Linked DNA regions of Diceros bicornis minor. Each later gene encodes a partner of the first gene's protein in a complex. Links are inferred from orthologs where the notes say so. Each region holds a gene or a part of one and is shown on either strand. Other genes may lie near its edges.

Evidence for each region.
Region 2: TAF1C (region 1) and POLR1H share a complex: the UniProt entries of both Homo sapiens proteins name them as parts of the pol I pre-initiation complex. The link is inferred for Diceros bicornis minor from reciprocal best matches to the Homo sapiens genes TAF1C and POLR1H.
Region 3: TAF1C (region 1) and POLR2F share a complex: the UniProt entries of both Homo sapiens proteins name them as parts of the pol I pre-initiation complex. The link is inferred for Diceros bicornis minor from reciprocal best matches to the Homo sapiens genes TAF1C and POLR2F.
Region 4: TAF1C (region 1) and UBTF share a complex: the UniProt entries of both Homo sapiens proteins name them as parts of the pol I pre-initiation complex. The link is inferred for Diceros bicornis minor from reciprocal best matches to the Homo sapiens genes TAF1C and UBTF.

What each region holds. Positions count from the first base shown.
Region 1 is NC_080771.1:33,271,681-33,278,696, reverse strand, and holds the start of TAF1C (TATA box-binding protein-associated factor RNA polymerase I subunit C), read left to right. Parts: upstream 1-4,003; 5' UTR 4,004-4,151; intron 4,152-6,511; 5' UTR 6,512-6,512; coding exon 6,513-6,650; intron 6,651-7,016. UniProt on the Homo sapiens protein: Component of the transcription factor SL1/TIF-IB complex, which is involved in the assembly of the PIC (pre-initiation complex) during RNA polymerase I-dependent transcription.
Region 2 is NC_080753.1:35,906,487-35,914,388, reverse strand, and holds the start of POLR1H (DNA-directed RNA polymerase I subunit RPA12), read left to right. Parts: upstream 1-4,890; 5' UTR 4,891-4,920; coding exon 4,921-5,164; intron 5,165-5,409; coding exon 5,410-5,510; intron 5,511-5,718; coding exon 5,719-5,828; intron 5,829-7,902. UniProt on the Homo sapiens protein: Core component of RNA polymerase I (Pol I), a DNA-dependent RNA polymerase which synthesizes ribosomal RNA precursors using the four ribonucleoside triphosphates as substrates. Can mediate Pol I proofreading of the nascent RNA transcript.
Region 3 is NC_080764.1:11,849,031-11,856,908, reverse strand, and holds the start of POLR2F (DNA-directed RNA polymerases I, II, and III subunit RPABC2), read left to right. Parts: upstream 1-4,862; 5' UTR 4,863-4,950; coding exon 4,951-4,970; intron 4,971-6,332; coding exon 6,333-6,402; intron 6,403-7,878. Other genes in the region: C25H22orf23 (UPF0193 protein EVG1), read right to left, coding at 3,280-3,342, 4,173-4,311. UniProt on the Homo sapiens protein: DNA-dependent RNA polymerase catalyzes the transcription of DNA into RNA using the four ribonucleoside triphosphates as substrates.
Region 4 is NC_080757.1:42,828,060-42,835,618, forward strand, and holds the start of UBTF (nucleolar transcription factor 1), read right to left. Parts: upstream 3,004-7,559; 5' UTR 2,644-3,003; intron 2,215-2,643; exon of another isoform or gene 2,197-2,214; intron 1,073-2,196; exon of another isoform or gene 878-1,072; intron 1-877. UniProt on the Homo sapiens protein: Recognizes the ribosomal RNA gene promoter and activates transcription mediated by RNA polymerase I (Pol I) through cooperative interactions with the transcription factor SL1/TIF-IB complex.

The DNA.
Region 1 (7,016 bases):
CTGTTCACTGTAGCCTTCCTGAAGCCAACCGGAAGTGCTCTCGAGCCAAGTTAGCCATTTGGCACTCTGCCCCCCTTTTTTCCTGTCAGGAGGGATTTTGAGTAACTACCACAAGACAGCTATTCTTTAAGATGAGAGACTAGGGATGAAGGAGAAATAACAAAAATAAGATGAAGTTACGGATGAAGACAGTTTACATATGGCCTGCTATGATGCAACACAATTGCTGGAAGGGGGCAGAAAATGTAACTGCGTCTTGTAGGAGCCAGTTCCCCGGGAAAACATGACCGATACTCAGTTCACAGTCTGTAAGACTCGTCACCTTTGTTGCTGCTGCTGCTGCTGATTGCTACCTTTGGGTCTGACAATGCTGACCAGGATTGTGGCAGTGTGGATACTGGAGTGTTTGAGGACGGGTTGGTGGAACTGGGGACATTTGATTTGGGAAGAGCAGGTGTGGGGGACAGAGTAGATTCAATCTCCCGAATGTTTCAGAATTGACATCAGAAAGAACAAGCCTGTTCTTTTCATGTGTAGCCCAGCCAGAGAGCAAAATTAGGCCTAGTAGATGGAACACAGTTGGTGTTCAGAAATGGAATGATGGCTGCACACATCCATAAAGAGACTTTAACAGAGTCCACAAACCCAGAAACTTCACCAACAGGAACTTGCATGAACAAGAGGTGATATATTCGTACAGGAGACTATTAGTAATAAAAAGAAACAAAATACTGTTACATGCACAAAATGAGTGAATCTCATAGGCATATTGAGTGAAAGAAGCCAGACTAAAAAGACTATTTTCTGCCTGATTCTATTTATATAAAGTCTTGAACCGGCAAAATTAATCTCTGGTGATGAGTCAGAATCATGGTTGCTTTCTGAAGGGGGTATTGACTGGGAAGCGGCACCAGGAAATTTTCTGGAGTGATGAAAATGTTCTCTGCCTTGATCTAGGTGGTGGTTATGTGGGTTTATATGTATGTAAAAACTTGATAAGGTGTACACTTAAGACTTCTGCATTTTACTGCATGTTAAGTATACATCAGTAACGAAAGGAAACCAAACAGCTTGTTTAGAGAAAGGAAGGAAGAAATGAAATTGGCCTCCCAGCCCAGAAGCTGGATGGGTGTCTCCTGGGGTGATGGGGAATAGTGGTGTGGTGGGAAAAATAATGGTCCCCCAAAGATATCCATGTCCTGATCCCCACAGCCTATGAATATGTTACATCATGTGGCAAGGGGGTATTATGGTTGCAGATGGAGTTAAGTTTTCTAATCAGCTGAGTTTAAGACAGGGAGATTATCCTGGATCACCTGGGTGGGCCCAGTGTAATCACAAGTGTCCTTAAATGGGCTAGAGGGAGACTGAAGATCAGAATCCGAGAGATGACAGCATGAGAAAGACTCAGCTGGCCATTGCTGGCTTTGAAGATGGAAGGGGGCCACAAGCTGAGGAAGGCAGGCAGCTTTTAGAAGCTGGAAAAGGCAAAGAAATGGATTTTCCCCTAGTGCCTCCAGAACGGAACACAGCCCTAGTGACGCCTTGATTTTAGCCCAGTGAGACCCATTTAAGGCTTCTGACCTCCAGAACTGTATGATATTGTGTTCTTTTAAGCCACTAAGTTTGTGGTAATTTGTTATAGCAGCAATAGGAAACTAATATAAATGGTCTTCAATTTCTTTTGCATACATACTTCTAAAATAATTTTGAAAAATTATATATCACTAATTTTTTAGTCACAAGCTTAAATAGTTACAAAAGATGTAATTTCTGATTTATTATATAGTATAATCATACTTTCAATATATTTTCACCAAAACCATGGAGAGGCGGACTTAGCTTATTCCATTTATGAAAAATGCTCTCCAGGGGCTGGCCCTGTGGCCTAGCGGTTACGTGCGCGCACTCCGCTGCTGGAGTCCCGGGTTCGGATCCCGGGCTCGCACTGATGCACCACTTGTCAGGCCATGCTGTGGCGGCATCCCATATAACGTGGAGGAGGATGGGCATGGATGTTAGCCCAGGGCCAGTCTTCCTCAGCAAAAAAAAAAAAAAAGAAGAAGAAGAGGATTGGCATGGATGTTACTCAGGGCTGATCTTTCTTACAAAAAAAAAAAACAAGAAAAGAAAAACGCTCTCCATGTGCCCTAATTGGCAAAGCCTACCATCGTAGTCAAACCTATCAGCTAAACCAGAATTTTCCTATCAGAAACAGTCTGACTTCATTTTTTCAATTTAAATAAATGTGTTGATATTTTCTCAGAGGAACCATGTCATTTTGTTCCCTCTTCCATTGATTCGATATTTATCGAGTATCTACTTTTCTAGTTGTTTGGGATACATTAGTGACCTACACAGAGAGAAGAATTCCTGCCTTCATAGAGTGACTTCTGAATTCTATTTCTGAGGTAGATAGCTGAAAAGGCATGGAGTCTAACCAAGAGGCTGAAGTCTCAATGAGATCAAGTGTCACAACCAGCAGTATTTTCCTCTTTTTTTCTTTTCTGTTTTAAAAAGACTACTGAAATATTACATCCATACCAAAAAGCATACAGATCATTCAATGAATTTTCACACACTGAACACACTCGTGTAACCAGCACTCAGATGAAGAAACATAATATTGTCAGCCCCCAAAAGCCCCGCCCCCCGCACCCTTCTATCATTACTCCTTACTGAGCCTGTTTTTCTTGGTCTTATAGGGACTCTCTCCTATAGGAACTCTGCTTTTTGGAATCGCCCCTTTGTTCAGCATCCTTCTCAGGCAATACTCCATAGTGGGGAAAAAAGTGATTGTGAAAAAGGAGATGCGAAAGGAGAACCATCTGATTCCGAGCACCTCCCAGATAAAAACCATATACATAGAAGCTGAGAACTTGGAAATTGATTCTTTAAAGTAATGGTTCTCAAAGTGTGGTCTCTGGACCCCCAGCATCAGCATCACCTGGGGACTCATTAGAAATGCAGATTCTTGGATCACATCCCAGATCTACTGAATCAGCAGCTCTGGAGGTGGGGCCCAGTGAACTGTTTTAACAAGCCCTCTAGGGGATTCTGATGCACGCTGAAGTCTAGAACTGCTGGGTTAGGATAACGGTATGATTTATGATTGCACAGTTGTTCTTAAAGTGTGACCCCTCCAGACAAGCAGAATCAGCATCACCTGGGAACTTAGGAAGGCAAATTATCAGGCCCCACCCCAGACTCACTGAATGGGAAACTCTGTGTTTTCTTTTTTTTGAGGAAGATCAGCCCTGAGTTAACATCCATGCCAAGCCTCCTCTTTTTGCTGAGGAAGACCAGCTCTGAGCTAACATCTATTGCCAATCCTCCTCCTTTTTTTTCCCCCAAAGCCCCAGCAGATAGTTGTATGTGATAGTTGCACATCCTTCTAGTTGCTGTATGTGGGATGTGGCCTCAGCGTGGCCGGACAAATGGTGCGTAGGTGCGCACCCAGGATCCGAATCCAGGCCACCAGTAGCAGAGTGCACGCACGCAACCGCTAAGCCACAGGGCGGGCTCCAGAAACTCTGTGTTTTTACACGCCCTCCAGGTGATGCTGATGCCCGCTGGAATTTCAGAACCAATGCCTAAAGCTATACTCGCCTGGCCACTGGGAAAACTTCATGCGCTCCCAGGGGTACCTGTACATCTATTTGTAAAGCCCGCTTCATAGGCTATAATGACAATCAATAGGATTCCTACTGACTCATACAGTGCCTGGCTCATCATACGTGCTCAGTAAGTGTTTGTTGAGTGAATTAATTTAATACTCACAGCAATCCTGTGAAATAGGAACTTAGTTAAGCAGAGGTGGGATTCGAATCCCGGTCAACCTATCCTTCACTTTTGGGACTTGACGAGGCTTGATTTCTACTGCCCGCGACGCAGCCTCCATTCCCATTCCCCCTCCGCCCGGGAGGTGGCGCTCTAGGGCGACCATGGGGCCAGGCTGGGAGGCGGGACTTCCTGTCTTCGAGGGAGCACTTCCGGCCCGGCCGGGAAGACTGTTCATCGCTGCTGTGGGGGCCGCCTTCTGAGGGCGCCGGGGCTAGGGGGCCGCTCTCGGGCTTCTTCGCGGCACGGGGGTCCGGCGAGCGGCGCGCGGAGGTCCATTTCCCAGACGAGCACGGCGAGGCCCGGGCCACGTAAGTGCGCGCGCCGTCGGACGGGAGGGAGTGGAGGGTCCCCCTGCTCAGGTCCATGGGCCCCGAGCTGCGTGGCTTTGGGACAAGTCGCCCAACATCTGCAAAGCGGCTTATTAGCAGCCCCCAGCTCATGGAGTGATGAGGAGCCTACAGATGTGAAGCGTGGTAGCCGCTGCCTGGCACACAAAGCTTGATGCGAGGCCTCTGCTGTTGCCGGGTTGAAATTCTGGGGCCTGGGGTTGGAGTGGGAGGAGGTGGATGGGGAGGACGCGGCCCAGTAGTTGTGTGAGGGGAGGGAACACCCGGATCCCCTCTCCCAACCCTTGCGACAGGCTCGCTTTTTGTCATGCCCAGCCTGGCATTAGTGCAGACCCGACTGACTTCTGCAGCCTTGGAGGTGTAAAGGGGCCTGGCGAGCCGAGGGCGAAGGCGGGAAACGGAGGCTGCCTTGTCTAAGGGCCTTTCTGAGGTCGTGGGCTCGCCCAGCGCCCTCAGCCTGCCTGGGTTTGTTTGAGGCTGTTTGGTTCCTTTCTTCTCTCATTCATTCATTCCCGGATTTGCTTTTTCAGTTTATATGTACTGATTGTTACCATGTAGCGAATACCAAGGTCCTGGGGGTATATAAAGTCTCTTTCCCGTGGGGACTGTTAGAGCGGTTTTGAATCAAACAGTTGCATCTTTAAATATGTAATGACACATTGCAGTGCGTGCTCTGGAGGAAGCATGCAGGCTGTGGTGGGAGGATAGGGTTGGGGGAACGGGGAGAGGCTTCCCTGACTTGAAATCTGAAGGATGAGTAGGATTTTGAGGTGGTAGGAAGGGCGCTCGCATTCCTTGTAGGTGGAGAGAGAGTGTGCAAAGGCCCTGTGGTGAAAAGAAGTATGGTGAGGAGGAATCCAAAGGAGGTCAGTGTGATTGGAGCCCAGGCACAACAGACGAGCTGGAGACGTACGTGTGTGTGCGCGCGCACGCGCGCGTGTGCGCGTGTGTGCATCTCTGACTTATCAGGGGTGCGGCCACCTTGGGAGGCTGGGGTGCCCCTTAACTGCAGTCGGTACAGCCAGTCCTGTGGAAGCCGGCGTTTTCACAAGGATTCATTGATCACCACCTTGGTTCCTGGCACTGTCCTCTTCTGTCGTGGAGAAGGGAATAGCAGCAGCAGCCAGACACCAGGAGCTCAGGAATGAAGCAGATACAGTGGCTGCCCGCGGAGAGCTCTCAGTGTAGTGGAGAAGATAAGACTGTGCATGTGAACCACAATTAGAATGAGGCTGACATGCCGTGAGAAACACGTATTCATCATTTAACAAGTATTGACTGTGTGATGGGGGCACTTTGCGTGATGGTGAGGGTACACGGATGTGTGGAGGTTACAGAATAAGCTGATAGGATGCCGCAGGAGCGCCAAAGGAAAGCATTTCTGCTTACTAAGGCTCTAAAGCTCGGGTTTGCTTTTGGATGCACGGGAGAGCGGTGGTTCAGACCTCGGACTTGGAATCAGAATCCAGCCGTTGGCCTTGGGCAGGCTGCTCTCTCCTGAGCCTCAGTCTCCTGGACTCCAAAGGAGAATAAAGCATGTGGTACCATGGCTGCAGATGCTGGTGCTCAGTAAGTGAGCACCACTGTCATTTTTGTGGTTAATAAAAAAGAGGGATGCTATGGCTGCTTATGCTTCTAGAGCACTTTGTATTTACCAAAGCCCTTTGGGCTAAATTTAGTTTTATTCAATACAGTCAGTGCATTTTTGGAAGGTATGTACTTGACAGTGGGAAGACAGACAAATAAGACTCAGTCCCTGGCTTTGGGGGAACTAGAGTTAGTCTTGGGAGTGTAGCCTGGGACGTAGGGCCTGTAGTCTTCAAATGTGTAATTATAATATGTAGAGCTTATTGGAAGCTGACCCCTCGCCACCTGTCTAACTTCATCCCCTACCCCTCTGCTCCTGTTCATTCTGTGGCCTCCTGGTGCTTTCTCAAGCACTTCCTGCCCCAGGACTTTTACACTTGTTGTTCATTCTGCCAGGAACCCTATTTCCATGGTCTTCATGGTTCTGTCCCTCATTAGGTTCAGGCTGTGCCAAACCTGCCCCTCTTGATGAGGCCTTCCCTGGCTACCATTGCTAAAACCACACCCTCAGCACATTGCCATTCCCTCCCTCCCGGTTGGTTGATTGGTTTTAATATAGCACTTATTACTATCTGGCATTAGGTTGTATATTCATTTGTTCTTTATTATCTGCTTCCCCAAAGAGAAAGTATACCCCTCTTACGACACTTTTCACTCTCCCAGGAACCCTCAAAGCCACTGTCAGATGCAGGTCTCTGAGAAGACCAGTGTGACGCATGGCTCTTGTTTTCTAGGATGGACTTCCCCGGCTCCCTCCGCCCCACGTTGTTTAGGACCGGCCTCCTTGGTCTGAGCAATGTCCCTGACATGTCCTTCATGTGCAGCTGGAGAGACGCACTGACCCTGCCAGAGTCCCTGCCCCAGAACTCTGAGGTGAGGATGGTGGGGAGAGCCCTGGCGGCTCCAGGGTGGGCACCTTCACTTGGTCCCCTTTTCTAGCAGGAGCACAGAGTGGGGTGGCTTTAGCATAAGTCTGCTAAGACTCAGCCAGAATCCCCTTCTTTGGGGTACGTGGGGCGCCCTACCATCCGCAGAGGGTTTAGTGAGCGGGAGCTGTTGGCTTGCTCTTTCCTACCTCCCCCTCCCCCGGCCTTTCATTCCTCTGTTTGTTCAGTGAATACTCATTGCACAGCCCTGTGCTGTGTCAGGCACCTTCCTAGGCCGGGGGCACCCAGCGTGAATAAGTCAGATGTGACCCCTGCCCCCGTGGAACTGAGAGTTAAGTTGAGTGAGAACAGA
Region 2 (7,902 bases), on another chromosome or scaffold:
TTTATGGCCGAGATTTTTGTTTCTATTCCTAGTCTGGTCTTTTATCCTGAGTCCTATAACTGTTCACTTATCTTGTTCCTTTGGTACTCTGCTCCAGCTCCTTAAAAGTGTTCCATTGGTTCCCTGCTTGATCTCCAATTCCTGAGGACGATTGATCTTCCTTGCCGTCTTGTTTTCTGTGGACTGCATTCCTACCCTTGAATTGTTGATCCCTCTTCCATGCTGCCTTTGCTGCCAAACGCCTGTCAGGTCTTCTGCCTGTTGTTGGCACCTTCTTTTTCCATTCCACCCTTAACTGTCCATTGGACTTAGCCACATGGAGCTCTTTGATGAGTCAGTAAAAGGGGATTTGGTAGATTGATGGGCACTGAAGCCAGAATGCAGGCGGCTGGTATAGACTTTCTAAGAGACCTGGCTTTGAAGAAGTGCAAAGAAATAGTATCGTAGCTTATTTAGATGCGAGAGACTTGAGCATATTTATAGGTCAAACAAAATGATCCAGTTGAGAGGGAGTAGGTGGATATAGAGGTGAGAAAAAGAAGAAGATAGCATAAAGTTATGAGAAAGCAGAGAGGCAGCCATTTTCCACTATGAGAACAGAGACAGAAAAGTGAAGTGAGCAGAAAAAGAAAATGAGGAGATGTAAAGAAATATGTAGAAACAAGAGTTGGAAGGAGTACCTACTGCCTTGGTTCCAATCTCCTGTGAAGCCCAATTATGCAAAATATTTTAAGACATTTTCAATTGACTTTCCCTTTTTCTTTATATTAGCCCCAGCAAGTTTCTAAGGCTTGCAAACAAGAAACTTTTTGACCATGACATTACTGTATTTCAACTCATCAAACTTTTCAACGCTATTTTTAAAGGGCAGGCTCTTGACTTAAGTCTATTGTAAGAAATTCCAGAATCCCTAGTACATTTGGAATCCACTACTCAAGACTTGTTTTTCCTCTATCTCTAAACAGATGATTTCGCCTCCTGCTTCACAGAGAAAATAAGAAGCCACATGAAGGAACCTCCTTCCCCCAAAATATATGTTTTTTTCCTTGTACCTTATCTCTTGGGAATTTCTGCTACATTCACATGGAAAAACCTTCTGAGAGAAACAATATCAGCTGGGTGTGCTCCTCCAATAACAAGTTTTCTGGTTTTCTTAATCTTCTTAAGATATAATTTAACAATCCATTTGATAGTCTGTCAGGTATCTTTCATTTTGGATAGAACTTCCCATTGCAGAAACATATTCAAATGGAAAATCCTAACGGTTTGCAACTACATTGTTTTTGCACACAACCAAGTTTGCTGCTTGGGCTAACGTTACCAAAATATTTGAAAATGCCAATTCTCACAAATTATTTAGCAGCTCTCTCTGCTTATATTTGCTTATAAAATCAGAAGCCATTAAGCACATCTATCAAAGGCTGCCTCAATATTTAAGTCCACCAGTCTTCCTTGTTCCCCTAACAAAATATTTCATTTAATTGAAATCAAGTTCAAAGGAACGTCAAATTTATCTCTAAGGGAAAACCTCACAATGACAGGAGGTGGGGCATGTGTGGAAGGGACTGAGTAGGCTTCTCAATTAGCTGCACCCCCCCCCCCGGTGGGGCTGGTAATTGTCAGAGATATTTCAGTGTATATTTCTATAGATTTTTTTTTTGCAATTTTTGGCTCCAACCTGTTTTCTGGTGGCTTCTCCGTTGAACAGTTTTGGCTCGATGAGAGCTGCACTCTCATGCCTTTCTGTACCACTGGCTATATTCCTCATGGCATTTCCTGATCCATTTTCATCTTTTAAAAACCCAACTTTTTAGAACTCAGTTCCCAATCCTATTTTAATAAAGGGTTGATGCCAATGGTATGACTACCAACACTGAATTTTGACCCAAATGGGAGCTTCTTAATGCTGTTTTATTAATTCAGTGATTTTCCTTTCACCCCCCCCCCCGAGTTTTATTCTTCTATCACTCCCCATTGTCTGAAGTGACCTGCTGCCATACAAGATCCCCCTTGTTCTGACACTGACAGTTCTTCATGGAGTCAACCACTGCCACTCTCCTCATCCTGTCCTCTAATCTAGTCACTAGCAGGTCCTTTTCATCTGCTGTTCCATGGGCCCAGATTTCCTTTCTTTCTCAACTACTTACCAAATCTTCCAGCCTTCAGTTCAAAAAGTGTCCACCTCTTCTCCAAAGCTTTTGCAAGGGGCTCTTTAGTTCTATTCCAAAGGGCTGGCCACTCTTTCTCCATTGTTTTGGTAGTGCTTAGAATGTTTCTATCAGCTTTGTTCTTCCTGTAATATAATTATCTATCTCTGACTCTGCCACTAGATTGCAAGCTCTTACAGTGCAGAGGACCCTGCCCTACCCATCCTTATATCCCTGGCAATCAGCACAGTACCTGACTAACAGGATTCAGCACGTAGGGAATGAATGAATAAATGGGCTTTATGTTTAAATAAATCATGTCTTCACCTCCTGGGTAATGACTTGCCATGGTCTCTATTATGCTAGCTCACCCCAGATTCTGCCTACCACAGTATCCTCTGCCCAGATATTTCAAACAAGCTGATTTACTAGAAAAGCACTTGGAAAAACTGGCTCTATCACCAGCCTAAATTTTCCACTTTTTGCTGCTTTTCCTTGTCTACTAACTCGCCCCTTTTCATTCATATATTTCTTTTGCATTTTAAATCTGAACGACCGGGTTTCCATGCTTGTTTGGGTAGGAACTTATAGTACAGTATGAAAGTAAGGGAAGAAAACTGATAGGACAGTAAATCATGATGTTATGTGGCACTTTATGCTTATAAAGCACTTTATTGCTTATCTCATTGGAACAACTGTGTGAGGAAGGTTTTATTTTCCCTACTGTGGATCCTAAAGATAAGGGCTTCTTCACATCAGCCAGCCAATATGTGGCAGAGTTGAAACCCAAAACTAATCTCGCAAGTCCAAACTGAGTACTCTATTGAGGCGGGGCCAGAGTGCTTGAGGGCTAGGAAACTTGGACCCTTGTCCAGCAGACAACAGGGAACGGTCGTCCTTGACTCTCCAGGGTCTTTAGCACCCTGCCCTCCTTTTCTGGGAACCTTTTGTTCAGACTTTAATGAAACTTTATTTTATGATGCTGCCAGGTGCCTTAAGAGGGCATGTGGGTGACCTTGTCTAGAAGGCAGTGGAGAAAAAGTTCTGGAAAAGGGGATAAATAAAATCCTGAATTTTATTGGAAGGGTATTAAAAAACAAATTAAGTAAATAAAGATATTTTAGTACCTCAACTGAAATATAAGAACAAAGAAAGGTTGACTAAGATTGTGCACAGACCGAATGTAAGAAGGTATAGTGGTATATTATCAGCTGTTTTTGTATTTTGGGCCTAGCTGTCTGGGACACAGCTCTGTTTCCAGCAGTTAACAAATGTCCTCCTTTCTTTCAACAAATATTTATTAAGTCTAATATATGCCAGACTCTACAGAACAGACTTATGGGTATAAAACCCTAATGGAATATATTATATATTCCCTGATAAAGGAATCATGGGCTCAGCAACAGACCTCCTTTGGTAAGACAGACAAAATAAAAACCAGCTAAGTGAAATTATGGGGCTTGTCACTCTCCTGTAACTTGCTCAGTTTTAACCCCTTCACTATTGTGTGTCTTTCCATTATTGTTGAGACAGGCAGACCGGAGTCTCTCTCAAGGAGAGACCACAGCTTGTCTCTTTCAGAGGAGAAAATAGTATGGCTCCAGAACTTTTATATGTAAGGAACTTAGTACAGCTATCTAACTGGGTAGGGGTGCAAATGTTAGGAAGCAACTAGGAAACTCATCTAAAAGCTGTCCCTGGAGGATAACAAGTTTTTACTTTAGATTGTAGGGTACACATGAATTAAAATAGCAAGATTTTCTAAAGATACTTGTTCGCATGTTTTATAAAAGATTAAGGAAATGTCAACTGTCCACCTAACGGATGACGATGATGATTTAAGAGTTGGTTGGACGGGAGGCGGGGAACGAGGTGGAGGTGGGTGCGCAAATGAAAGCCAACCTCGACCTAAGTTTTAGTGAAATCCTACCCAAGGCTGCTCCCCTTGACTAGCCTCCCTCATCTGGCATCCGTCTAAGGAGGAGGGAGTCCCAACCTCTTCTGTTCTTCCACCTCCAAAGTCCTGAGCCCCCAGTGTCCCACTTCATCCCTGTTTCCCTTCTTCCCAGGGAGTAAGCATGCCTCCTCCTCCTTCACCACTTTTTGCCCGTTAAGCCGACTCACTCCTTCCAAGAGCAGGAAACAACCTCCAAGGCACGTGAGCCAGGCTGGGCTCTGCAGAGCGCTACAAGTGTAACTCAGAAAGTTTAGCTTTGTTTTTAACCACTGCGCATCCGCAAAAGGGGAACTATCGGCTCAGGAACCGCAGGAGCTGCAGTTCTCTAGTCAAAAGAAATTAGTATTCGGTAAGGTTAGTACGATTTTCAGGGGGACGGCCCTCCGCGCCTAGGTCCCTGTGAGGTGCAAGACCAAGAAAAATAAATATCCCAGGATTGGGTCTTGAGGGGAAAAGTAGCCGGAGGCCCAGCATCGATTACCCGTTTTCTTATCCGACCATACAGAACCAGGCTGAAGAGAGGCCCGGCCTGCACCTTCAGAGACGTTCCTCTGCCTCTCGAGGACTGTCAGGGTCACGTTTGCGATTAATTATGACGTCACAGCCAATCGTGAGCCGCAACGCGTGGACGCTCTAGCCCGCCGCGCGCTCGCTTCCCCATTGCCCGCGCAGGGCCGGCGCTCTAGCCCGCGGAGTTGGCTAGCTCCTCTCGCCTGCCCGAGGAAAGCCACTGAGTCAGGGGGTACTCGACGCAGGCTGGGAATACGGGACCCTTGGGCATACGAGGCATGCGTGGGAGGAGGGCTCCGGTTATGTATGCTTAGCTCCAGGGACAGAATAGAAATGACCCCTGAGTGGGGAGGGAGCTACTCGCTTGTTAATCAACTTCTTATTCCCTTCTCAGCCCTCGACAGCCTGTCCGTCATGGACCTCGCCGGCACCTCCTCCAGCTTTCAGTCGGACCTGGATTTCTGTCCGGATTGCGGCTCGGTCCTGCCTCTGCCCGGGGCTCAGGATACGGTCACTTGTACTCGCTGTGGCTTCTCCATCAACGTGCGAGGTGAGGGGCTTGTACGCAGCTGCCCCGGCGGAGGGCCCGGCATGGAAGGGTCGGAGGCTTGGGGACCTCAGGATCGGTGGGATCGGAGAGGGGAACCCTAAAGCAGGAGATCAGGCGCTCACACTTTTGGTCTTGGGACTAAACCTGAAGGGAAGGATGTAGGACCTCCTGGCCTAATCAAGAGGGAGTTGCGGGTGTCAGCTCCCTCCGCTTGTTTCCGCAACCGATTCTTACTGCCTGTGCAGACTTCGAAGGGAAAGTTGTGAAGACCTCATTTGTGTTCCACAAACTGGGGACAGCCATGCCTATGTCGATGGAGGAAGGACCTGAGTTCCAGGGACCCGTGGTAAGTTAGTTACATCAAGCATGGCCCCCCAAGGAGCGTTGGGAAAGAAATGGAGGATGATTGCTGAGACCTGTGGAGTTTTGTAGCCAATTCTAAGAGGGAAGAGGGAGCTTTAGAGCAGCAGTGTCTGAGGAGTGTGATAGCCTGATTCCTATGAGAAGTAGGGGGGATACGACTAGGCCTCCCTAATCCACTAGTTGCTTCCCAGGTTGACAGGCGCTGCTCTCGATGTGGTCACGAGGGAATGGCATACCACACCAGACAGATGCGCTCAGCTGATGAAGGGCAGACTGTCTTCTACACCTGTACCAACTGCAAGTGCGTATCCTTTCCCTTCCCTCTGCCCTGTCTCAGTCTGTTTGCTAACTAAACAAATCCAGTGATTTACTTTTTGTACCAAAGAAGCAATTGTTTCCTTTGGTCCCATCCCTCATTTCTGTACAGTTCAGATAGTAGGGAGATTTGTGGTCGTTTTTTATTTTTAAAAATTACACTTTTCTTATCCTTTTTATAGCCAGTGAACTAAACCTTTTAAGATATTTTAAAGGAAATGGAAAAATACAGAAGGCAAGTATTGCTTAGTGGTCAGGATGTTATGCTGGAATCTTCTGCTGCACTCAAGGTAGTTTTATTTTGGTGAGAATTAATCGTGCCTAATTTAAAAAACATGGGCTCTCTTAATGGTTTTGAGAACTCCTCTTGGTCTTTGGTGTTCTGCAGTTTCACTACAATATATCAAGATGTGGCTTTCTTTTATTTATCCTGTTTGGGATTTGTTGGACTTTCTAAAACTCAGGATTGACTTTTTTTTCATCAACCTTGGAAAATTATCAGCCATTATCTCATTGAATATTGCTTTTTCTGGAGCTCTAATTAATTAGTTGTTTAATAAACCTTCTCTTTCACCCTCCATTTCTCTCACCCTGTCTTTCATATTTTTCATCTCTTTTTCTCTTTATGCTGCCTCTGGGTAAATTCTTCAGGTCTCTCTTCCAGGTCACTAACTCTGTCTTCAGTTTATTTCAATTATTGTTACTTTAGAAAAAGTTTTCTTTTGAGTTCTACTTGATTATTTTTTCAAATTTCCTCAGTCATTATAATTCCCAATTCCTTAATCATATTTTAAATTGCTCCTTTTAGTCTTAAAATGTTACTTTTAAATATATTAAACATGATGATTTATACTGTGTCTGATAATTCTGATACCCATCATTTTTGTGAGTCTGATACTGCTGTCTGTTATTTTTGCTGACTCTCTCATGGTGCTTTTTTTCTTTGTTTTGTGATTTTTGACTATAAGCTTGGATTTTTTAGAGTCTGAAGTATGGGAATTCTTTGAGGCCTGGGGTGAATGCTGTATCCTCAGCATCTATGTTTCCTGTTCAGGTGCCTTGAGGCACTACCGAGCCGGAATTACTTTAAATAAATTCTTGGCTTCAGGTTTTTTGGAGCACATAGGTAGTATAAATTCGGGCTGCAAATCCATATAAGGGCCAGCTTATGGTTAGAAATTCTCAGAGAAGATTTTTTCTCCCTCTACCTTGTGAGGTAGTCAGATTCCCCTTCTGCAGAGGTGGATTTTTTTTTTCCTTGTTCACTTTTACACAAAGGAGTAGCCCTTTGGGTGGCCCAAATTTATGCAGAGTATCTCCATTCTAGGTTTCTAGTTCCTCCCTGTGGCTGTCAAAACAGCAAGGGCACTATGGTAGCAAGGACTTGAGTTTAACTTACCTGTCTAGATTCCTGGTTTTACATCATTTTACCCAGTGTGAAGGTTGCCTTTACTTTCTTGCCATCTCTTCAATGGATTAAAAATATTTATAGTTAGATATATCTTTTGAGAGGACTTTTTTCCCAATCTGTCCTTTGTATTTTTTTAACTATTTTTTTTTTTTATTAATGAGAAGTTCTTAAGTTTTGTGAGGTCCAGTTTATCCTTTTTTTTTTCTTTTATGGCTAGTACTTTTTGTGTCCTAAGAAATCTTTGCATATTTCATAATTCATTCGATTTTTTTTTGATGAGGAAGATCAGCCCTGAGCTAACATCCATTGCCAATCTTCCTCTTTTGCCTGAGGAAGATTACCCCTAAGCTAACATCTGTGCCCATCTTCCTCTATTTTGTATATGGGATGCCGCCACAGCATGGCTTGATGAGTGGTGCAAAGGTCTGTGCCCAGGAATCCGAACCTGCAAACTCCGGGCTGCCAAAGCGGAGTGTAGGAACTTAGCTAGGCTACCGGGCTGGCCCCGAATTCCAGCATTTTTAGTGGTCTTAAATTTGGAGGATTGTTTAAGGGAGCTAGTCCTCCACAGTGTCATAAGTGAAAGTCCTTCCTTGATTATTTGTGTGTCTCATCTTAAATTGCTGGAACCTCTTCCTTTGTTCAAATA
Region 3 (7,878 bases), on another chromosome or scaffold:
ATGGCTTACCAAGCAGTACTTCGGTGCGCGCCCGGGATCCGAACCAGCGAACCCCGGGCCGCCGCAGCGGAGCGCGCGCACTCAACCGCTTGCGCCACCGGGCCGGCCCCTATATAACTTATTTTTTATAGCTGCATACTAGTTCTTAGAATGGATGCATTATTTATTCGACTAGTCTCCTAGTTTCGGAGATTCAGGCTGTTTCCATTTTTGTTACTACTTTAAACAACGCTGCAATAAACATTCTCGTACATCAAGCCTTCCTACTGGTGCTTTTGTTTCTGTAGATGGATTCTTGAAACCTGCCTGGTCCACGGGCAGGGAGGGGTGGTTTGATGGTGATAGACACCAATCCCTCCTCCTGTCCCTCCCCCTTGCCTTGACCCAGATCTGGGGCTCCTCCCCCAGGCCAGCCAAGTGTGTCCCCTCCTACCTGGCTAACTGGCCTCTCCTCTCAGTTGCCCTAAAGCCCAGCTCAGAGCAGGCCCCACCCCCTGTTTTGATCCACCCCTGTCTACCTTGTTGACCTTTCCAGCTGCCTTCTGTCATCCACCTAGCAAATACGTGCCAGGCCCAGGACACTGGGGGTAAAGTGGTGAGTAAGATAAAGTCCTGCCCTCGTGGCGCTTACATTTGGGGTGTGGAAGATGCTAAAATAAGTAAAACATATCGTATGTTAGATGGTGACAGTACAGGGATGGAGCAGTGTGTCTGAGCAGGATTTACAGTTTTAAATAGGGTAGCCAGGGAGGACCTCATGAAGAGGGTAACGTTTAAGAAAAGACCCAAAAGTGGTAAGAGCCAGCTGTGCAGATATTTTGGGGAAGAGCTTTCCGGGCAGAGGGAAAGGCTAGAGCAAAGGCCCTGAGGTGGGAATGTGCCTGGAGTGTCTGAGGAACAGCCAGAAGGCTAGGGGGCCAGGAAGATGGAGCAGAGTGGAAGTAGGGGTCAGAGGTCACGGGGGGCAAGAGGAGTACAGGGCCTTGCAGGCCTCCAGAAAGACTGGCTCTTACTTTGTAAGGTGGGAAGCCACCACAGGGTTTGAGCGGAGGAGTGGCATGACCCCTTTGGCTGCTGCTGAAAATACAGTGTTGAGGGCAGGGGCAGAGGCGTCAGAGGCGGGATATGGTCTGAAGGTCAAGCACACAGGACTGCTGATGATGTGGGTCTGGGAGAAAGAGAACGGAGTCAAGGAAGACTCTGGGGTGTCTGTCCTGAGGAACTAGAAGGATGGAGCTGCCATTATTTCCCACTCCCATCCCCTTCTCACCCCTCTACCTGGAGCCACACCACAGCTTTCTCTCTCTGTTGTGAGGAGATGCCATGCCTCCTAGAATGTCCCTCCTGCTCCGTCCACTCCCTATTTCTGGCTGTCCAGTGCCAAATGCTACCTCTTCCTTTGGCCCATTCTCAGCAAATAATTATGGCCCGAGGAATTCTGGAAGCTTAGGTGAAGGAGAGGAATTTGTGGCTTGCAACAGAATTTGAACCAGCCCTCAAAACAACAAGTAGGATTTGGTTAAGAGGAGAGAGGAAGAGAGGGGATTCTAGGAGAAGAAAGCAGACTCAACATAGTGCTCGGAGGCAATTTTTTTTTTTTGTGAGGAAGATCGGCCCTGAGCTAACATCTGCCAATCCTCCTCTTTTTTTGCTGAGGAAGACTGGCCCTGGGCTAACATCCATGCCCATCTTCCTCTACTTTATATGGGACGCTGCCACAGCATGGCTTGCCAAGTGGTGCATCGGTGCACGCCCGGGATCTGAACCGGCGAACCCCGGGCCGCCGCAGCGGAGTGCGCGCACCCAACCACTTGTGCCACCAGCCCGGCCCCTGGAGGCAATTTTTAAAAAAGAAAACTAAGGAGAATAAAACTGCCAGGTGAACCCGTAACTTGTGTTGGCCTAACCACTAATGTAATTAGTCCTTCAATAAATGTCGAGCACCTACGAGCTGGGGCTACCGTGGTAAACAAGGCCGACACAGTCCTCGGTCTCCTGCTATTTACTTTTAGTGGACTTTCTAGCACATTCTCTTTGTAGTCATGCTACAGGGGACACCAGATTATTAGTACATTACTGAGTGTGGAGATTGAGTTGTGTGATTCGGCTGTGTTGTGGCTCTGGCAGCCTGAGTTGTCCTTGTCCACAAGGAGAAAGGAGATCTGACTTCTGAACTGGCCTGATGGAGCCTCCCTCCCCCAGCCAGTGCTGGGCAGGCACTGCCAATATTTGCCTCTCTGACTTTCCCTTCCCTATGCTTCTTTGGTTGATCAGATGCTCTCCTGATAAGCACATTCCTTCCTGAGAGAAGGCAATAGCTTTCAGTAGATTCAAGTAAAACTTAGCAGGCTTGGACCTTCTGACATTCTCTCTGTTAAAGACAACTTTACAGGGCCAGCCCAGTGGCTTAGCGGTTAAGTGCGCGCGCTCCGCTTTGACTGCGCAGGGTTCGATTCCGGCCGCGCACCTACGCACCGCTTGTCAAGCCATGCTGTGGCGGCCACCCATATAAAGTGGAGGAAGATGGTCAGGGATGTTAGCCCAGGGCCAGTCTTCCTCGGCAAAAAGAGGAGGATTGGCAACAGAGGTTAGCTCAGGGCTGATCTTTCTCAAAAAAAAAAAAAAAAAATTATAAAAAAAAAGAGACAACTTTACAGATCTCTGTTCTGATCCACTAAATGTTGATTCAGTTAAATCTCAGAAAGCAAGGTTGTTTTCAAGATCGTAGAGGGCAGCTTGCTATTGTGCCCATGGAATTCCACTTTTTGTTTTCCTTAAAAATAAATAATACAACATGTGGTCAGAGGTGAGCTGTGGAAACGTTTTGCATATTTTTCCTAAGTTGGAATTCTGCCAATTACCTTGTTTCTGCTAGCTAAGCTATGAATGAATAAAATGATGAATAAGACACACACAGTCCTCTCCCCTGGAGGACTCACATGGTGTGTGTGTAGGAGGGAGGGACAGATTGCAGACTTGACAGTGTTGAGACTATGTGGCTGGGCAGGAAGTCTCTATTGGGCTGTGATCTCTTGAGAAGGTCGGCTAGAGCTGGACTGCAGGAGGCTTGCTGTGTCAGGACCCATGTCTGGGGAAGAGGCAAAGGTCCCACAAAGTCAATTCCCCAGGAGCAAGGGTCAGAAATACTATTCAATTTTTTTTTTTGGTCTTTTTAAATGACCTCTTTTTAAAGAGGTCCCCTGCCCCTTATGTAGAGGAGTATTAAAAATGTGGCCCAGAACCCCTCTGCCCAGGAAGCCTCTGTGGACTGCCTCTTACTTTTCATGGTGTCCATGATGTGGCGCTGTTGGAAGTTAGTCAGTCTGGATTCCTTCATCATCACTGCAAAATAAAGCATTCTATGAGGCCTCCTGGGCTGTAGGCAGATGCCCTCGTCTCCCTCTATTTAAAGTTAAAACTGTATCACCTCCTACCCCCATTCTGCACCTGGTTACTCCCACTCTCCCTTTCCTGCTTAATTTTTTTTCTGTAGCACTTATCACCATCTAAGTTATATATATTTTACGTATCATGTATTACCTTCCTAGTAGAATATTAGCTCCAGGAGAGCAAGAATTTTTGCTGTTTTTTTAAAAAAATTTTTTACTGCTGTATCCTCAGCACCTAGAACAATGCCTAAAGCACACAATGGCCTTTTAAAAATTTTTTCTTGAGTGAATGAATGAATGAACAAGTATTCATTAAGCATATGCCAGCGGCTGGAGCTACAATTGGGAGCCAAAACAGGCACAATCCCTGCCCTGATGGATTTCACGAGCTAGAGGGTTAGAAGGATATTAATCTAATGGACACACTAAATATCTGATCACAGGCTGCACTAAGCCCAATGAAGGAAAAGGTATTTGGTAGTATGAGGGCACATAACAGTGGGTTCCACTGTGGTGGTGGTGGATAGGGAGGAAATAAGGCTTCCCTGGGGAACCTGAAAGTGTGATCTAAGGGATGCATAGGAGTTAACTCTAAAATTCTTAGTTCTTTGACTTTTGGCCACTTGCAAGTTGTAGGATCTCTGAACCTTTCTGAACCCCAGGCTTCTTATCTGTAAAACTAAAATAGCAATCGCTAAGCCATACATAGGTCATGTAGGGGAGAAGTGAGTTACACAGGGTAACTGTTACCACTGCTCTTCTTGTGTCCTTCAGCGCACTGACCTCTGAGCAGCTCACAGGTCCTCCGGGAGTAAGTGGCCGGCTTGGGGCAGCGCCAGAAGCCTGTTCCTTTGGTCACTGCCTCCACCCTCTCCTGGGAAGCCATGGGAGGACCTTGAGGAGGGAAAACGCAATGACACATCCATGTCTCCCAGGTCCAATCTTTGCTCCCGCATCCCCCAACACCATCCCAAGTCTGGGAGCGGGGTTCGGGCCGCAAGAGACTCCTGACGCCGCCCGTCAATACTGTGACAGTGCCCGATTCTCCTACCCCGAACAGATACACAAGCAGATGCACACACACGGGAACCGAGACCTTAGCTGAACCCGGCGCCTGTGGCAGGGAAGTCCCCTTAGGAGGAAGGGGGCATTAGGATAGCGGTGGTTACGACAGAGCCCATTGGGTGATACGCCAAAACTGAAACCTCACCCTAAAGTAAGACCCCGGCGGGGTGCCCCTGTCCCCACAGAGAGCGGCGCGGGCTCCAGAGACCGTAACCACTGCTCCACCGCGGCACCCTCACCGGGGCCCCGCAAAAATACTTGGAGATCTCTGGCACCAGAGCCGGCAGCTAGACGCTCTGGCTACCATGGTAACGAGCACGCGTCTCTGGGCGCATGCGCACATATATCGCTCCGGCTTGCCTCCCGGAAGTGATTGCCTCTGGGTCACGGCGCAGGCGCAGAGTAACGCGTGGCGCCGCTGGAGGAGAAGGCGCGTTGTGGACAGGTCGCTGCGTGGGTCAGAGGTGCGGACCCGCGTCGCCGCGGCGCGGGCGTCATGTCAGACAACGAGGACAAGTGAGTGCGGGAGCGAAGTGGCCTTTGCGGTGTCTCGGAAGGGGCGGCTGAGGCGGGGGCCTGGGTCAGAGGAGGCCGAGGAGCCAGGTCGAGGGGCAGTGTCTGAGGGGCTAGGGGTGCTGAGGGCCCGCGGAGCTGGAGAAGGGAAGGGCGGTGAACCGGGAGCATAGACCGGGCCAGAGGCTGGGCACAGAAAGCCCCAGGCTCGACGACCAGAAAGGATCAGTGAGAAGGGTGTCTTTCAGCAGACTTCCACTGACCCCGCCTCTGTGTCTTGTAATGGGAGTATTGAGGTGAATTAGGCGTAGCCCCTGCTCTCCAGGTGCTTCTTTTCTAGAAGAGGGGACAGGCCCGTAAACAGATAATACGGGGTCGCGTGAGATTACGTAGTAGATGTAGTATAGAGGTAATCCAGAGGAGGGTCAGGCCAGGCCTGGAGATGGTAGAGGTCTGGGAGGTGTGAAGTATCCACGTGGGAGAAGGTGGCGGCTTGTACTAGGAGTCGTGAGAAGTGGTTTTGAATTCTGGGTTTATTTTGAAGCTAGAGCCAAAAAGATTTCCTGACATGGGGGGTTGGAGGAGATAAAAATAGGGCAATCATCAGCCTAAGTATATTAATCAGAAGGAAGAAACAGGTGAGCTCATCAGGGGAGAGTCAGTAGAGAAGAGGAGATGACTGACCGTCAGAGCATTCCAACATGGAGTGCTGGTGGGGGAAAGAGGAGAAACCAGCAACGGAGGCTGAGAAGGAGCAGCCAGGGAGGTTGGGGAACACCAAGAGAGTGAGGTGTCCTTGCAGTCACATGAGGAGAGTGTACTGAGCGAGAGGGAGTGACCTAGTGTGCCAACTGACAGATCACGCCAAATGAGAACAAGAATAGGCCATTGGGTGTAGCCACGTGGAAATCATTAACGAGCTTGAAAGGAGTGGTTTTGACGGAGCTGGGGAGGTGCAAGTCTTCTTGGAGTGAGATTATGACAGAATGGGAAGAAAAGAATTGGAAACAGTGGAGGTGGATGACTCTTTCATGAATTTTGCTCTCAAGGAGAGCGTGGAAATAGGGCTCCGTGGGGAGGGAATAGAGAAATGAGTTTTGTTTATTAAGATGGGGAGATAACTACATGTTTATATGCTGATGGGAATGATCCAGTAGAGAGAGAAACAGTGATGATGAGTGAGTCCTAGCAAAATTTAGGGGCTGATGAGGAAAGGTTGAAGGAGTAAATGGAACAGAAGTTTGATTCACTCATTAAGTAGATGTTTATTGAGTGCCTCTAACATGTGGGGTGAGACACAGATCCCTGTCCTCTTGGATTCTAGTAAGTGATGCTTCAACTAACTGGCCTCTTCTTCTCGTACAGTTTTGATGGTGACGACTTTGATGATGTGGAGGAGGATGAAGGGCTAGATGACTTGGAGAAGGCCGAGGAGGTCAGTATTTAGCTGTGGGCTCCTGTGTCTGCAGCCCAAGCTGCCAGATAGCCCAGCGGTGATAATTGCCTGAATGCATCTCCCTCCTGTTCATGGTCAGGGCCCCTGCCACAAGCCCCCCCCGGTTAGAGCAGAGTTCCAGTCCTGGGTAGTGGAGAAGCCCTGCAGGTGGTCCTGAAGGCTTCTGTCCACTTGGACCACAGCCCATGGCTTCTGGGGCAATTAGTTCTCTGAGGGGTGAGCAAGTCAGTGAACACTTGTTGAATGTTTATTAGGTGCCGGGTGCTCTGCAGGGTGGGGCTACATAAGGAGCAAGGAGGAGAGTGACCTGGGATAAAGCTGGACAGGTTAGGGCCCAGATCAGGCAGGCTATTGTAGCCTAAGGGTAGCGGGAAGCCACTGACCAGTTTTGAGTCGGGGAGTGGCATGATCCAGTTTACACTTTAGAAAGAGCATTCTGGCCTCAGAATGAGGAGTGAATTGGGGAGGAGCAAGAGTAAAAGAGAGAGACCAGTTAGGGGACTTGCATAGATCTCCAGGTGAGAGACCTGTAGCTTGGACTTGGATGCTGGTAGTGTCAGTGATGAGAAAACATGAAAGAGAGATTTTGGTGGATTGGGTGTGGGGCTGAGAAAGTGGGAGATGGCAAAGATGATTCCAAGCCTTCTGGCTTGATCATTTAGGTGGATGGGTTACCAGCTTCATGAATAAAATAGGGCTTTCTGTCCTGTGTGACTGATGGAGGAAGAGGTGCTTTGTGTCTCCTGGAGAGAGAGTGATCCCTCGATTTTTTTAGTCTAGGAAGCTGAAGCTGTCTTTTTGGATTTCCTCTGTCTGCATGGCACTCTCGGGTCCCTATTCACTGAGTCAGAAACCTCCTTCTTCATCCCTCTGGTCCCTTCCATGCCTGTCCTGTTGATTCTGCCTCCTACATGTGGTTCAGCCCTGTTCCGTTTCTCCATTCCTAGTGCCGCAGTCCGGTTTAGATCTTCATTGCTCTACACCCACGTGACTGCAGAAATTGTGTTACTGGTTTTCCTGCCTTCAGTCTGCTGCGTTTGCCTTCCTGCTGCCAGAGTCATCTTTCTTACCTGCCTACCTGATCGATTACTATTGGTCTCCCTAAATGGTCTCTCTGCCTCCACCCTTGCCCCCTACAGGATATTCTCAACAGAGTATTGAGGATGATCCTTTTAAATCTTAAGTCAAACTGTGTCTCTCCTTTGCTTAGAACCCTCATCCAGTGGCTCCCCGTCTCATTCAGAGTAAATGCCAAAAAGACGTACAAGATCCTCCATGATCTGGCTGCCTGCTTCCTCTGTGACCTTACCCTTTCTAGCTTTCCCTGTCATGTCAGGCAGACCCCTGCTCAGGACCTTTGATCATGCTGTTCCCTCTTCCAGGCACACTTTTCCCTTAGATATGCACAGGACCTGCCCCTCACCTCCTTCAGGTCTTTGTCCAAGTGTCATCTCA
Region 4 (7,559 bases), on another chromosome or scaffold:
CGCCCTCCACCCTCCTTCCCCCACCCTAGCCAAAAAAAAAAAAAAAAAAAAAAAAACTCCTCCTCCTCCTCCTCCTCTGTGAGCCCGCCCCGGGGAGGCCCCAGGCTGGAAGAAGGGGGAGGAGGAAGGGCGGGTAAAGGGCGCGCGCGGCCGCGGAAGCGGGCACGCGCCGCAGTCTCCTCCTCCCGCCTCCCCCCCGGCCGATTCCCCCCGCCTCCGCAACCCGGCGGGGACCCGGACGCAGCGCAGCCGCCGCCGGCCCCGGAGCGCAGCGGCCGCGCCGCCCCCGGGGACCGGATCCGGACTCCCGCCGCCCCCCCTCTCGGGCTCCCGACGCCGTCCCCGCCCGCCCGGGCGGGCAAGCAGCCGGAGAGAAGCGGCCTAGCCTGGCCCCCGCCCCCGAGCCACCCACCCCGGCCAGAAGCGTCGCCACCGCCCAGCCACCCCGACGCGCACGGAGGAGCCCGGCGCAGAAGCGCGACCACGGCGGGAACCGCCGCCTCCTCCCCTGAGCTTGCGGCCCAGCCCTGCCGGCGCCCCCGCCCCGGCCTCCGGGGAGCAGAGCCAAGGAGAGGGTGGGAGGACGACGGCCGGGAGGCGGGGGAGCAGCGCTCACCGGCCCCGCCGCCCCCTCCGGCGGCCGGCGAGAACTGCGTCTGGCGGCTCGGAGAAGCGCGGGCTCCTCCGCCTGCGGCCGGGGTTCGGCTCGGGCCTCGCTTCCTGCCCTCCCCTCCCCCGGCTCTCGGCGTCCTCTCCAGTGCCCTGGTTCTCTCTCGCCCAGTCCTCTGCCCGGAGGTCACCCCGGGTCCCCTCCTGGCGGCTACCGCACCCGCGGTTCGCTCCCCGCCACCCGACCCCGGCGCGCGTTCTCAGCCACCTCGGTTACCCGGCGCAGCGCGGCCTCCGGCCTTCCCGCTCCGGCGGCTCCCTCCCCGGCTCTGAGCGGCGGCGCCCTCCCCCGCTCGGCCGGGCACAGCCGCAGCTCCCTCCCGCGGCGGCAGCGGCTCCTCCTCCGGGCGCGGCGGCGGCGCTGGGGCGGCGGCTGCTGCTGCTGTGGCGGCGGCGGCTGTGGCTGCTGCCTGCTGCTCCTCGCGGCGAAAAGCACAAAGCACAGCGCCCTCCGCCTGCAGGCAGCCCGCCCGCCGCCCGCCCGCCGGCCCCGGCCTCAGCTCGCACACCCCCCGCCGCCGCCGCAGCCTCCGCCGCCGGAGCGGGGAGGAGGAGGGAGAAGGGAGGAGGAGGAGCGGGAGGGGGGGCGGGAGAAGCGGGGCAGCGAGCGCGTCCTTCCCCGTAGAGCGCACACCGACCCCCGGGGAGCGAGCGCCAGCCCGCCCGCCTCGCCGGCTCCGCTCCCTCCCACAGCCTGCCCGGGCGGGCTCCGCGGGGGGCAGCTGGGAGGAGGGGCGGGAGCTGGGGGGACCCGGGCGGCCGAGGCGGAGGGAAGGAAGGAGGGGAGGGGGGTGGTGGTGGTGGTGGTGGTGGTGGTGGTGGCGGTGGCGGCGGCGGCGGCTGCTGCTGCTGCTGCCGGGAAGGGGGGGCCGGGGCAGGGAGACACGCAGCCGCCCGGATGGCGGCGGGGCTCGGAGCCGAGGCGGGCGGGCGGGCGCCGAGAGCGACCTCGCCAGACCCGCGGGGGAACTAGCAGGCTCGGCCGGCGCGGGAGGGAGAGCGCGAGGCGCGGCCGCAGAGAGGGTGCCCGAAGGGGCCCCCCGGTGGCCGGGGAGACTCAGGGGGTGTCTGTAGCCCTGCTCCGGAGCTCTCCCCCAAGTCCTCCCAGTTCAGAATCGGGTTTCCATGCCAGATCTCTCCCGCCTCCCGGAGCGGGCGGTCCGCGCCCACACTCTTCCCCGGAGCGTGGCCACCGGCTTGGGGCTCAGGCACGCCGATCGCGGCGCCAAGCTTCGGCGCCTACCTCGCGGTCTCCTCGCTGCCAAACAGCACACACACGAAACTTAAAAAAAAAAACACCACCTCTACAAAATGCCTTCCCTGCAAATTAAAAAAAAAGTCCCCTTCGCTTTTTACACCCCGGAAACGGCAAGGGGGCGACGGGCTCCGGCAGAGGAGCTCTCTGGGAGCCGGTTCAATCCAGCCCGGCATGGCTCCCCAGGCCTGCCAGGGCGCATGGAGATCGGCGCTGCCGCTACTCGCAGCAACCCCTCTCCCCCGAAATCCGCGGCGCCGGGGCTCACTTACCGAGCGTGTGAATGGGAGCGCGGGCCAGGGGCACCTAGGGGTGCTGCGGGCCGAAGAGCCGAGCCGCAGCTCCGCCGCAGCCGACGCCGGGGCAGCGAGTCGCCAGACAAAGCCCGAGATGGCGAAGCGGAGCGACGGCTAATGGCGAGCCCCACGCGCCGCGCTCCGCCCGCCCCGCTCCGCCCGCCCGCCTCGGCGCAGCGCAGCGCCGCTCCGAGCGCTCGCCCGTCAGAGCCGCCTCGGCGCCGCCGCCTCCCGGGCCACCCCGGCCTCGCCTGGCCCCTCCGCCTCCTCCGGGCGGCTCAGCCTCACCCCTTCCCTCCCACCGCGCTGGGGGCTGCACGAAAATAAAAAAAGAAAAATGCTTTTCTTTCTTTTTTTTTTTTTTTTTTGGCAGGGCGGGCGTGTTGAGACTTTTGGGTCGTTTTGCCCCCAGCTCGCACTCACCTGCGGAGCCGCCGGGAGGGCTGGGGGTGGGGGCGCGCGGGGCTGGAGCCGGCGAGCGCGGGTTGAAAGCTAGCCAAGCTCTGCAGCGCCCGACCCGGGCGTATACGCCGCCGCCAGTCCCCGCAGAGAAATCTTCCTCCTACCCCCGCCTCCATCGCTCTGCGTTTCTCTTCCAATCAGCCGGTCGCTTGGCGGCTCCTCCATTCTCCGGCCAAGCCCGCTGCCTAAAGCGAGCTCCACTCCTCCATCTGCTCGCCTGGCTCTTTGCTCCCCTGCCGGGGCCGGCGAGGCGACGTGGGGCCGGAGAGGGATTTGCGAGGGAACCTGCCTGCTTCCCGCTCCCATTGCTCCCTCCCCGCTGCCTCCTGCCTCCTGCTTCTCTCCTGCGTCTTCCCAACTCTCCCTTGTCGCCACTGGTGTGTGTCTGAGTGTGTGCGCGGTTTTTTTTTTTTTTATTGCTCTTTGCTTTTGCAACCCTGAAGCCAAAGCGGGGGGGGGGGACTTTGGGGAGTGTTACAAAAAAAAGCAAGAAAGAAGCTCTTAGATTTGCAACACATTGAAAAACCGGGGGAGCACCCCGCCTCGTCCGATCTCGGGGCCCCGCGAGGGCCTTCCGGGTTTTAGAGCAAGCCTCTCCTTCTCAGCCGCTCACCTCCGCCGGGTTTGGAATCCGAGGGGTCCGAGCAAAAAGTTCTCCCCCTGGCCGGTAGCAAGGGGTGTCAGGGTGGGAGTTGGGGGAATTTCTCAAGAAGCACCAGCCATCCCTCCCACCCCGGCTTCGTTAGCTGGGCCGGCCGGGGTGGGGGCGGAGAGCCAAATCCTGGTGGGTTTGCGGGAAGGGGCTTCCGGGGCGAAGTCGAAGCCGGAGACCGCGCTTCGCTCATCTCCCGCTCGGTCTCTGCCTCCTGTCCCCTGCCAGTTCCCCCTTTAATTCTTTTTTTTTTTTTCCCCTCTCCTTTAATCTAATTTCTTCCAACTCCACCTTTGTTGTTACCGGCGTCACGCCCGGACCAGCCAATCCCTGCCACGCAATCAGCGTGTCAAAAAGGCTCCACCAGCCCTGGGAAAGCAGGCCGCGGGCGCTGCCCCCCACCCCCGGCGGCGGCGGAGAGCCGCGCGCGGAGCCTGGCACTCGGGCCTCGCCGCCGCAGCCGCAGCGGGGCAGCTTCGGCGTAGGCCTCCGGCACTCCACGACCCTGCGAGCCGGCGATCGAAAGGCCTGGGCGGGGACCTCCATCTACCCTCCCACTACCGCCGGCTGTGGTTGTCTGTTTCTGCCTCCCCTCCATAGAGGAAGGGTTATCAGGACGCAGCGAGCCAGAAGCCAGTCTGAAGAACGCCTGCTTCCAACAGGCGAGCCTAGTTCGGGCCATCGCTCCTCGGGCAGCGCCATTGCTCCTGGCTCCCAGGCGGCCAGTCTCCCACACTAACACTGCTCCCGCCCACAACTCGGCCAGCTGGGTCACCAGCCCCTTTGGACTCTCCCCTGGCACACAACCTTCATCCTCACACAACGGCCTCGCTGCTGCTGTAATTCCTCTTGTCTCCTGGGAGAAATGAGATTCCTTTCCCAGGATTTCCACAGCCTGCATCTGCCACGTTTCACAAATAGGGAAGAAAAGCCTGTCAGGATCTGGTGTGTCCGGATTTTTCTGTGGGCAGGGCATGTAGGAGAAGCTGATTTACCTTGACGCTAATGAAGCTTCAGGGCCCTTCATTTTCAGGACCTGTCCGAGGCCCTGTACTTCATTTTGATTCATCACTTGACATTATTTTTGTTAAAGAGTGTCATGTCCAGTCCGCGACCTCATGTCCCGTCCCCGACCGTCCGTGCCCCCACCCCCCGCACGGTTGTACAAGTTTCGGCCCCACAAACCCAGCCCTGCCCTTGGAACATACACAAGGCATTTTGTGTAGGATCAAGCTATCTTGCTCTGTACTTAGAGCAGAGCAGGGAGCGATTTTCTTTCTTTCTTTTTTTTTTTTTTGAGGAAGATTGGCCCCTGAGCTAACATCTGCCAATCCTCCTCTTTCTTTTTTGCTGAGGAAGGCTGGCCCTGGGCTAATATCTGCCCATCTTCCTCCACTTTATATGGGACGCCACCACAGCATGGCTTGCCAAGCGGAGCTTCGGTGGGCACCCAGGATCCTAACCGGTGAATGCCGGGCCGCCGCAGTGGAGCACGCCCACTTAACCGCTTGTGCCTCCGGGCCGGCCCCCGGGGCGACTTTCTTGTATTGACTAGGAAACAGCAGAGGGTTTGGAGTCAGAAATCCCAGCTTCCCAGCCTATCAGCTTCCCCGCCTTCTTAATAGTGTGTGAGTGAGATCAAGTTTCTTAACCTCACCTAATCCTAGTTTCCTTGTCTATAAAATTAGAACAGCAATCCTATGTTCTCTGCTTTCCTCAGGAGTCTGAAGGTCAAGTGAGATGATGTATGTAAAATGTAAAATACTCCGCAATGTCACTTGCCACAATTACAGTGGGAGAAACTTAGACCCCAAGAAAGTTCCAAATCTTCCACACACAGATCTGGAGTCCGGGTGTCCTGGCTCCTGGCCCTGAGCTTCTTGGCTGGGCCAAGACGCCTTTCGGTAAAATGCTTTGGAATAAAAAGGGATGAACATGAATCATAAGAAAGATTGTTATTGATTTTTTTTCATTCTTCGGGCAGCAAAAATCATGGCTGGCACTCTTCCCGCTTGGAAACCTATTGACTTGTTTTACATGTATTGTGTTTCTGGTGAGGTCAGGAGTCTAGGACTCCGGCTGTGGGCCAGAGCATGAGGGAATCGGCCCTTGGTCCTTTTTCTTTGCCCCCCTCCCAATTCATCCGCCTTTCCCTTCCAGTTTTCTGCCCTGTGCCTTGAAGCAGAACCTCAGCATTCCACAACCCCAGCCCAGGCTGGTGACAGGGTATAATCCTAGCTACAAACTCTCCACTTGGCTCCGGCCCTTCCCTGGGCTGCCAGTACTCCAGCACCAACTCCTATAAAACCCCTAGTGTGCCTGGAATGTATTAACCAAAGTGTAGTACTTGAATTCCTGGTGTTCATGGAGTAATTTTAGATGGTATACAGATCAACATATTATTTTCAAAGTTATGTATTTTAATGTGTATTGGAAATGTTCTTTTAAAATTTTTACTTAAGATAGTGACATAAAATATGTAATAATATACACGCGGAACCAGCCCTGATGGCTTAGTAGTTAAAGTTTGATGGCTCCACTGCTGCCACCCGGATTCAGTTCCCGTGCGGAACCACACCACTCGTCTGTCAGTAGCCATGCTGTGGCAGCAGCTCACGTAGAAGAATCAGAGGAGCTTACAACTATACACAACTATGTACTGGGGCTTTGAGGGAGGGAAAAAAAGGAGGAAGATTGGCAACAGATGTTAGCTTAGGGCAAATCTTCCCCTGCAAAAAAAAAAAAAAGTACACCAAAAAAAAAAAAATAAATGTATACCTGAAATTTACACAATATTATAAGCCAATGTGACTTTAATAAAATAATTTTAAAAAGATAAGAGCCTAATAAAAATGGTGGCACAGTTTTATGTATGTTAGATGGTTACCTACACAAATCCTACAATAAATATGCACTATATCTAGGAAAATAAAAAAAGATAGTGACATAAAGACTTCTTCCTCTTTTTTTTTTTTGGATCTACTGTCCCTTATTTATTTTTTCTTTTTAACTGAGGTATAATTTACGGATAATGAAGTGCACATATCTTAAGTGTACGGCTTAATGAATGTTTATAAATGTATACATATTATACATGTTACATATATATACCATGTAACCACCACCCAGATGGAGATATTGAATATTTCTAGCATCTAGCTCACTCAAAGTCAATATTCCCCTCCAAATGTCACCACTATTCTGAGTTCTATTGCCATAGATAAATTTAGCCTGTTTTTGGAGTTCATGTACATGGAATTACACAGTATGTACTCTTTTACATCTGCCCTCTTTTACTCAACATTATGCCTGAGATTAATTTATAATGTTGCATGTAGTAGTGGTTCATTTCTTTTCATTGCTATGTAGTATTCCATTGTACAAATATACCACAATTTATCCTCTCTACTTCTCCTTCTCCTTCTTTTTTTTTTTTGTGAGGAAGATTAGCCCTGAGCTAACATCCGTTGCCAATCCTCCTCTTTTTGCTGAGGAAGATTGGCCCTGGGCTAACAACCATGCCCATCTTCCTCTAGTTTATAGGGGACGCTGCCACAGCATGGCTTGATGAGTGGTGCGTGTGTCCACGCCTGGATCAAACCTGTGAACCCCTGGCCACAGAAGCGGAGTGTGCAAACTTAATCGCTTTGCTACCGGGCCGGCCCCTATCCTTTCTACTTCTAATGGGCATTTGGGTTGTTTCCAGTTTTTGACTGTTATGAATAAAGCTGCTTCAAACATTCTTGTGCATATCTTTTGGTGGATATATGCATTCATTCCTCCTGGGTATATTTCCAGGAGTGGAATTCCTGTATCATAGAATATAAATATATTGGACATTAATAGATTTTTCCAAATGGTGTTGTCAGTGTTTTTGGATTTTGGCCATTCTAATAGGTGTGTAATGTTATCTCATTGTTTTAATTTTCAATTTCTTAATGGCATATCATGTTGAATATCTTTCCATATGTTTAGTTGCCATCTGTATATCTTTTGGTGAGATGTCTGTTCAGGTCTTTTGCCTATTTTTCAATCAGGTTGTTGGTTTTCTTATTGTTGAGTTTTAAGTGTTCTTTGTATATTCTCGATAGCGGTCGGTTATCAGATGTGTCTTTTGCAAATATTTTCTCTCAGTCTGTGGCTTGTCTTCTCATTCTCTTGACACTGTATTACACGGAGCAGAAGTTTTTTATTTTAATAAAATCCAGTTTAGGGGCCAGCCCGG